2 linked regions of the Bombyx mori genome follow. The main gene of each other region encodes a partner of the protein of the gene in region 2 in a complex. Links are inferred from orthologs where the notes say so. Each region holds a gene or a part of one and is shown on either strand. Other genes may lie near its edges. The genes, in order: phosphatidylinositol glycan anchor biosynthesis class U protein and GPI transamidase component PIG-T.

Region 1 (4,436 bases), about 1.6 Mb from region 2:
AATTTTTGTTGCAGCGAATCTAGGAACGAGTTTCTTGAACCAAAATTGGAGAGTGCTGTACCGCGAGCTTCTCCCATACGCACAATCTAACTGGGACAAAATTGGCACAAACGTAGCTAATAAGATTTTCTCAAAAGTACCCTATGATCAGATATTTCCTAGCGGTACATAAATTTTCCTTAAATAATTAATAGTTCTGTGATATTTTGTTTTTTTTAGTAAGTTGATGTATCTTTATTAGGTATATAGGTATGACGGGTAAAATTTGATTTATTAGGCATAGAGATTAGAACATAATTAGAAGCAATAAACATTCAAAGCAAATTAAATCTGTCTCCAAATTGAGTTGCCAGTATGTTAAACCTTGGGATCATCTTACTGACAATATGACAGCTTAAGTCGAACAAACTGCCTAATTTCAAGATACACCTATTTTAAATAGTAAAAAGTTTTTAGAAATTTAATTATGAAATAACTGGTTGGTTAATATGAAAATAGGATATGAAAATGCATTTTGAGCCATAAAATATCCTTCAAGCAGGTTTCGATAACATACTGATCGGTTCGCGGTGCCAGATATACTTAAATCATTTTCAACCTAGTAATATATATTTTTAAATTGTCAATCAACTTTTGGACAATTTTGGTGTATGGGATGGCTCTGAAAAATAGCCTGGAAACTCGTGTATGGCCAGACGCAGCCCAGACGAGTCTATGGTTAGCCTGATTATATCGTCGCTTATTTTTGTAGTGTCAGGTTTTCAGCTGAAACTACCTAGTGTAGTATGCACTATAGCACACAGTAATTATTGTAATTATTAATAATTTTGAGAAAATAAATAATATATGATGAGAAATAGAGTTTTGTTTGTTATTTATAATACACATTAAGATCCACCTACAAGCAGCTTACAAAATTACATACAGAGAAAATACCAAATGTCTTATTATATTATATCTGACCTAACCGACCTGGCAACACACAGCTGCCATCGCCATAAGATATTGAGTATAGTTTTGATTTGTACTTCGGTGGAAATTTTGTTTATCCCGAACCCCAGGGCGTAACATAATATACATGTTACAACTAAAATCTTAACGTCGGGGCTTTAATTCTATACTTAGAACGCTACAATTTTTTCGGGTTCGCCATTTCTACAATCAAGATGCTAAGGTGACAAATAGCAAGGGAAGGTCTTCCACCGATCATGTGCTAAAGAAAACGAGCGCGAGCATTGTTCATCAGAGCTTATTAGACAAGAATGTGACTTCCTTTTTATAAAGATTTTATGGCCTGATGGCGGTGATACAATAATCTACATGGTGGGGTCCACTAATATAATATAGTGCATGTTATTATCTAATATATATTTATCCATTAAATATCTAAGGATTACGTTTTTACAAGACCATCTTACATATTCCCTGGTGCAATAAATAAATTTTCACTTTTGTTTTATGGTTGTCTTTCGTCCGTGGTTGAAAATAGACTCGAACAATATATAAACTCTTTGCTATTTCTGTTCAAAAAAAAGACAGTGACAATGACAATGACAGTTAGGCTTGTTTCCTTTCCAATGTCGAACGAAAAGTCAGAAAAGATAGTAATTGGGATGAAAACGAATTAAAACGATTGAAGTAGTATATATAACGAAGTCAATATTATGTACCACATACGTCCTTTACATTGCAAATATTAATAAGTAATTAATCAAAAAATGGGTGCGGTTGTAAAATATGTAATAGCCGGCTTAGTTAGGTATTGGCTTATTCATACAGACTTTTGGCATACACTATCCAATAGGGTAGAAATAGCGACTCCCTTAAATTCATGGAAGAGGTTAATTGAAGGTGTTTATTTATACGACCAAAACATTAATCCGTACGAAGGAGATGCTTTCCACGAATCACCGATAGTGTTAGTGATTTTCCATTATCTTTTAAAACATGTCCCGTATAGCCTACCATTTATATTCAGTGCAATGGACCTCCTCACTGCGTATCTTCTCTACAAAACCTCGAGAGGTTTTGTCAGAATCTTCCTTAACTGTCAAGAGAAATATTTATCAGATGTGTCTCAGGAATCAAAGGATATGGTTATGACAGAAAGTCAGTTAAAAGAGACATCTGAATATGTTCTGTCTGTCTATTTATTTAATCCATACTCTATATTGAACTGTGTTGGGATGACAACAACAGTTTTGCAGAATATGTTGTTAGCTGCAGCACTTTGTGGTGCGGCTCATGGATATGTGATAATATCCTGTGCGTTCTTAGCCTTTGCTACTCATCAAGCATTATACCCTGTCTTACTGATAGTACCAACGGCTATGATATTGGCTGAAGTGAACAAGGGATGTAATAAATGTTCATATATTAAAACATTGTTGGCCTTTGTTTTGAGTTGGAGCTTTGTGGTTTATATATCTGCATTTATAATGGATGGTTCTTATAATTATGTTTACAATACATATGGTTTTATGTAAGTACTTTCTTCTAATATTAGTCAGTCATAATTTTATTTTAAACTAGATAATAGAATAAGAAACTAATTAACTTTGTATTTGTAACATAATGGTATGGTAATGGTAAGACATCCAATGTACTTGTATCAAATGTTAGAACTATGTTAAGATTCAATGTTGTCATGAATACAATTACCATTTAAATATGTAACTAAAATGTCATCAATACAAAATTTTGACTGTTCACACAACAAAATGAAATAGAAATAATAGCCTGTAAGAAACTTTAAAGTACATTATTAATATTAATAGTTCTGTGTGTGAATTTTCACCAGTAGACAGAACCATCTTTGGCTATGTACTGTAAAGCTTTTACCCAGCAGTCCCTTAAGACTTACTGTTAAACTATACAATTGAGTCTCATTATCAATGTGATTTCTACAATTTCTATTAATCAGTAAATACATAGTGCAGCAATAAAATAAAAGAAGAGTAGTTGATTTTGAATTTCTTTGAAAGTGTCAATCGAATTATATAAACATATGTATACTCATAATTTCATATTTAACATGTTTCCAGATTGACTGTTCCAGACCTAAAACCAAATATTGGACTTTTTTGGTACTTTTTCACGGAAATGTTTGAGCACTTTAGATTACTGTTTGTATGTGCTTTCCAAATAAACGCCCTGATACTGTACATAGTACCATTGACTTTGCGATTTAAGAAGGAACCAATATTATTGGTGACTGTGCTATTAGCACTGTCAACTGTATTCAGATCTTACCCTTGTGTGGGTGATGTTGGCTTCTATATGGCATTCATACCAATGTGGAAACACCTTTTTACATGTAAGTGCTATTATATAAGATAATAAAATGAAGAAAAATATTTTAAAATTTATGATGCACTCTTCATTTCCATATAATTCTTATCGCTAATTCTTATAGTTTAAAAAATAAATTTTTTATTTAAATTATTCTTTATTGCCCTTCATTCAGCTATTAATAAAAAAGATAAAGCATAAGAGCTATTTATAGAAAAATATGAATTTTTATAATTTCTGAGTTTACTCATAATCTTTATATATATTTTTCAGTTATGCAACAAAAATTTATTGTTGCCTGTGCATTCATCATTACTTCAGCTTTGGGACCGACAGTATGGCATTTGTGGATATATTCTGGATCAGCTAATGCCAACTTTTTCTTTGGTGTCACCTTATCTTTTGCAACAGCACAAATATTCCTTATAACTGACTTATTGTTTGCGTATATTAAAAGAGAATATACTCTTAAGAATGGATCTTCGAGGACCATTGATGGAAAACCTGCCAAATTAGTTCTGCGATAATGACAACTGTAAACTGAAATGACAGAAATATGCATAAAACTTGTACAATGACTTCTTATGTGTAGCTTTAGCATTCAGAAAAAAAAAACTGTTATGCAGATGTCTGAATGTTACATTTGTGCAGTAATATATTACATATTGAAGACCAAAAAATTTTTTCATTCTTAAGTAACATCTCCATATCACCATTTCGTTGAATAGAGTATGTTGATCAGTTGAGACAGTATACATTCATTCAATTCTGCATTTAAATTAGTAATTTTAGGGTATTATAATATAAGACAAGAAGCAAAGACTTGTATAACTAATGACTGTAACTAAATTAATGATAAAATGCATACAATCTTTTAAGTACAGCTAAAATATTTTCTATATCTGACTGTCACTTAGTACTATTCAATATTCATAATTAATATGTATAGTTACTTTATTAGTCGAAGAAAGAAATATTTTTTAGCTCATGTGTTCATTTCGTTACAACTTGTTTTTTAGACATATTTGATATTGCTTTAAAGTTATTAATATTGTATTTGACTGTTATATCATATCAAACTGTCGTTACAATTTTTAGTTACTGTTTGCACAAAGATAAATGTCAAAACATACAGTATTTTTTAA
Region 2 (4,378 bases):
CATGTAATAAAACGTTTGTGCAGAACAAAATGTCACATGTTATGAACATGATTGTGGGTTAATCGTTTCTTAAATTTCTAAATGTTTATAAGAATGCTAAGAATAATTTAGTATTCACTTTAGTGTGTGTATTATCTCTACAATGCTAGTATAAATGACAATTATTGTATGACGAAGCATAGGTAGTGTTTATAGATGTAATATTTTCATACAAGGTCATGATCTGTCACGATCAACTTTAAGCAAGAACTGCTATAGTTAAGAAACAAATTTATTAAATTTAATTCAAATTGTCTACTATGTTTGTAATGGAAAGCTGACATGTTTATATTTCGCACAAATGACTTAAGTGACATTGAATGATTTGATTATCTAGACTTAATTAACTTTTAGATAACTTTCGATTAAGTACTCTAGTAGGATTAATCTAGAGGAGTTATTGTTATTCGAAATTTTATACAATTGTACGTTCATACTATCTTTTAACAGTAAATTGTTTGTAATATAGGGAAATTAAATAGCTTACAGAGAATTACAGCTTTTTATTTAAAAAAACTGTTTTCTCTCTGTATGAAAAGGTCTTATCGATTAGAATGCTGAACACAATCAAACGTTCTTTAATATTTCATAAGTACTACCGGGAATTTCAGCGATTCTAAACGATAAGATTTTTTCATAAAGAGAGTTAATTATAAAAAATATTAAAATTACTAAAAAAGCCACCTGGTGGGGGGTAGGGAGACTAATAATCGACAGCAGCGACGCCTGCTGTCCCGGGCTCTAACTAAAGCAAAAATAAAAATGAGAGTTGCGCATCTATCTCAAATATATTAAGTGTATAATCTATGCCCGAACTGTCAATGAATGATCGTAATAAACAATCATAGACCTTAGGTTTCCTACTTCAGTGTAAACAATTAAATGAGTGACATTTTCAGTAGATACCGTAAAATGGGGTGATTAGGGATCGAGAGGTGAATGGGGAAAAAACCAGGAAAATCTTTCGACGCGCAATACTAGTTTTTTAATCGTTGCAAAATCTTCCATTTTTTGTAGTGTAATAATATAATGAGATGAGATGATATGGGATGAAATATAATCTCAGTAAAATTGTGGTCATTTACTGAGACTTTTTCGTTGGACTTTTTGGAGAATCCCGAGAAGTGACGTCCAGCGACTTTGTTTCATTTTCCCACATTTGTGCACTTTCACAAATATTAAACAGTTAATAAACCACCATCATTACACATTTAAACCTGAAGAAACACCAAATAGACAAAATAAAACAAATCACACAACTTCATTCCTCGCGTTCCCGCCAAAAAGTCCGCTTTACTCCAATTTCCCCAGTATTGCTAGCGTCAATTTCTTTTTTCTCTTTTCGCCATCAGATCCTGGTAGACCCATAGAGTTACTACTCTAAGGTAGGTACTTACTTGTAGGTACTTATTAACTCCATGGGTAGACCTATAATATTATTATCTATGGAGTTTATTTCAGAAATTATATAGAACAGACAAGACTGTATGGGCTTAGATCCCCTTGCCTTTCCTAATAACGAAAAATTGGACCAAAAAAATATATATCTATGAAGCTAGATTGCTATTATCTATGGAGCTAGATAGATAAAGTTAAAAATTAAAAGCCGATTTGCAAAGAAATAAGAATTTAATTATGCTCTTTGAATTAAATTGCAATATATGTATGTGTTAGGTATAATCAAATTAAAAGACAAATTTAAACAGGATGTTTAACTCGAAAAACTTTCTGTTTTTTATTGCCGTATTCATTGAGACAATTTTTAACGCTAATGGTGATTTATTTAATGAAGAGCTATTTATTAAACCTCTACCACCGGCACACCTTTACACATATTTTCAATTTACTACCTTAGTAAATGATAACCTGTCATGTAAGTGCAGTGCTCACTATTTAGCAACTATGTTTTTGTATGACGGCTTTTTTATAAACATAGTTTTGGATATTTATTTTACAAAAATGTTTTCCAGCCGAGCACACCTATTTAGCACCTAGGTCTTTGGTGGAAGTGTTGACACGATTCCAAGTTGATGAACTGCATTTCACACTAACCGAGGGGCAGTGGAGGCATAATCATTGGGGTTATCCTGTGCTTGATGCAGCTCCTGGAGCAGAACTATACGCTTGGTTTTCCTCAGATGTGGAAAATGTTGATACACAATGGAAAAAATTAAGTTCCACCCTTGCAGGACTGTTCTGTGCATCTTTAAATTTTATTGAAGATTTCAACACTATAACACCTCAAATGGCATTACAACCGACCGGTGCTATACCACAAAATCCTAATATAACATCACAGTTACGCTATGCTTCTCTGCCTAGAGAAATTGTATGCACAGAAAACTTAACACCATGGAAGAAACTTCTTCCTTGTGAATCTAGTAGAGGGCTTTCAGCATTGTTAAACTCAAGAATGATACACAATACCAATTATCATTCTATTGGAGTTCATACAAGAAAAGTGTGTTCATCTAGTGATTGTTCAGTAGTGAGCCTAGAGATAAAGCAAACGGTAGCTTTGGTTTATGATTCTAAGATTATTCGAACCACTGATTGGTCTTTTACTAAATTATTTGGCCAAGGGTTGCCTGGTGGATGCCCTCTTGCATCAAGTAGCAAAGTGTATGTAGATATCACCACCAATGATACCCAGCCATTCCTTCTATCTCCAGAGCCAGAAAAGGTTCTACTGTCACAGCGAGGAGGCAGTGAAACAAAACTTGCTCTGTACACAATTAAACCTGAAAACAAAATGACTACTATTGGAGCCAAATATATCAGTAAGAAAGATTTGGTTCTTATGAAACTGCCCCCACTTTATTTCAATCGTTATGTATTAGGTTATGGAAAGGAATTTGGAGGTATTGTGACTGAACTGACCAATACTTTTTGGTCCTCCATTGATGTTGTTGTATTGCAGAATGCGCCTTGGTGGTTGCCTATTCAATTAAGCTCTTTAAGAATCAACGGGGAAGCGTCAAGTGAGATGGTGTTAGCTAGGCATTATTCACCTGGGCGTAGCAGACAAAAACCTTATCACTTGGAGTTACTGCTGAGGCTACCACCTAAGTCAGCAACTAAGATAACTATTGATTTTGAATTCGTATTCTTAAAATGGCAAGAGTATCCACCAGATGCTAATCATGGCTTTTATGTTGGGTCAGCAATAATAACTGCTAATTTACCAACAGCAAGAAATTATACTAGTTTACCAGGGACTGCAAGCTTATTTGAATCTTCAATTAATGCATCAAAACCATGTAAGCAAAAATAGATATTCAATTTTGACCTAAACTACATTGTAAATAGTTTTTGTTTTGTGTTCCTAACAATAATATAACTTCCCTAGATTTTGGTACAATTTAGTATTTTCCCACAAGTACATTACAGCATCAGTTCATACAATTCAGCAATGTCTAACTGCATTTTTTTTTTCCAGGGTATCCTGCAGTATTTCGTACTAATGGTGTGATGGTATCATTACCAACACCAGACTTCAGTATGCCATATAATGTGATATGTCTTGCTTGTACAGTTGTGGCCCTTGCTTTTGGACCTCTGCATAATATTTGTACAAAAGAATTAGTTCTCAAAGTTGTTGGTTCTTCTGTTACTTTAAAACAAAAGATTATTAATTTATTTAAAAAGAAAAAGGAGTGAAATTTTCATAAATTTGCAATACCAAATAAATTGTATAAATAAAATAAAAAAGCTTTAATAATTAATTTATTCTGTTTCACATAAGATATCTATAAATAAAATCCTATAATTGGAATCTCAGCTAGAGGGAATAAGCCCTGATAGGAGGAACACTTTAATTATTAACTTAGAGTGAAGAAAATCGTGAGAAAAAGGAAATAAAAATAAGTCTCTCTCAGAGGAGCTCAATAACAAGCATGGACACCTTTTTTTTTTCTTTTTTTTTCTTTCGGGTAGAAGGCCGAACCTCCTACGAGGTCCCCGCGCCTAGGTGGCGCGCGGGGTATGTGAGACTCAACGATCTGCAGGTGTTGAGAGCAGATCGCGGGCCCAAGGGTTTTAGGTCCCACCCACTAAACGACTCCCCTGCACTCTTACACCCGACGTCCGAAATCCGTCCGGGGTCAGAACCCGTTCAGAGTAGAGGGGTTCCCGCGGTCAACACTACAACCAGACACGCGGCGCCACCCCGAGGACGCCCGACCGACGGGTCGTCGAGGCGATAGTCGACGACCAACGACGTCAGTCTCCGCGGTACGGCGGCCCTACCAGGCCGCCCGGGCGGTGCCGCAGGTGTTCCGGGATACCCCGCTGGGCCAGAACCAGCCTGCCGGGTCGGAACGCGATACACCGCCGACCG

Evidence for each region.
Region 1: the proteins of GPI transamidase component PIG-T (region 2) and phosphatidylinositol glycan anchor biosynthesis class U protein are in contact, whole or in part, in a cryo-EM structure (PDB 8IMX), measured with the Homo sapiens proteins. The link is inferred for Bombyx mori from reciprocal best matches to the Homo sapiens genes PIGT and PIGU. Residues at the interface, in NP_057021.2 of Homo sapiens: Tyr361, Gly362, Leu363, Gln364, Lys365, Arg394, Leu395, Tyr396, Val397, His398, Tyr416, Pro418, Ala419, Gln420, Asp421, Arg422, Gln445, Glu447, Leu450, Leu451, Lys452, Trp453, Thr454, Pro518, Thr519, Pro520, Asp521, Phe522, Ser523, Met524; in NP_536724.1 of Homo sapiens: Glu30, Lys42, Arg43, Val45, Glu46, Ser49, Leu50, Leu53, Val55, Ser59, Gly60, Ala61, Val62, Pro265, Asp266, Leu267, Pro269, Leu273, Trp275, Tyr276, Phe277, Phe278, Ala279, Glu280, Met281, Phe282, Glu283, Phe289, Phe293, Asn296.

What each region holds. Positions count from the first base shown.
Region 1 is NC_085111.1:9,170,732-9,175,167, reverse strand, and holds the start of phosphatidylinositol glycan anchor biosynthesis class U protein, read left to right. Parts: upstream 1-1,557; 5' UTR 1,558-1,718; coding exon 1,719-2,482; intron 2,483-3,044; coding exon 3,045-3,316; intron 3,317-3,564; coding exon 3,565-3,818; 3' UTR 3,819-4,436. UniProt on the Homo sapiens protein: Component of the glycosylphosphatidylinositol-anchor (GPI-anchor) transamidase (GPI-T) complex that catalyzes the formation of the linkage between a proprotein and a GPI-anchor and participates in GPI anchored protein biosynthesis.
Region 2 is NC_085111.1:7,582,917-7,587,294, forward strand, and holds GPI transamidase component PIG-T, read left to right. Parts: upstream 1-1,514; 5' UTR 1,515-1,746; coding exon 1,747-1,912; intron 1,913-2,009; coding exon 2,010-3,299; intron 3,300-3,478; coding exon 3,479-3,699; 3' UTR 3,700-3,764; downstream 3,765-4,378. UniProt on the Homo sapiens protein: Component of the glycosylphosphatidylinositol-anchor (GPI-anchor) transamidase (GPI-T) complex that catalyzes the formation of the linkage between a proprotein and a GPI-anchor and participates in GPI anchored protein biosynthesis.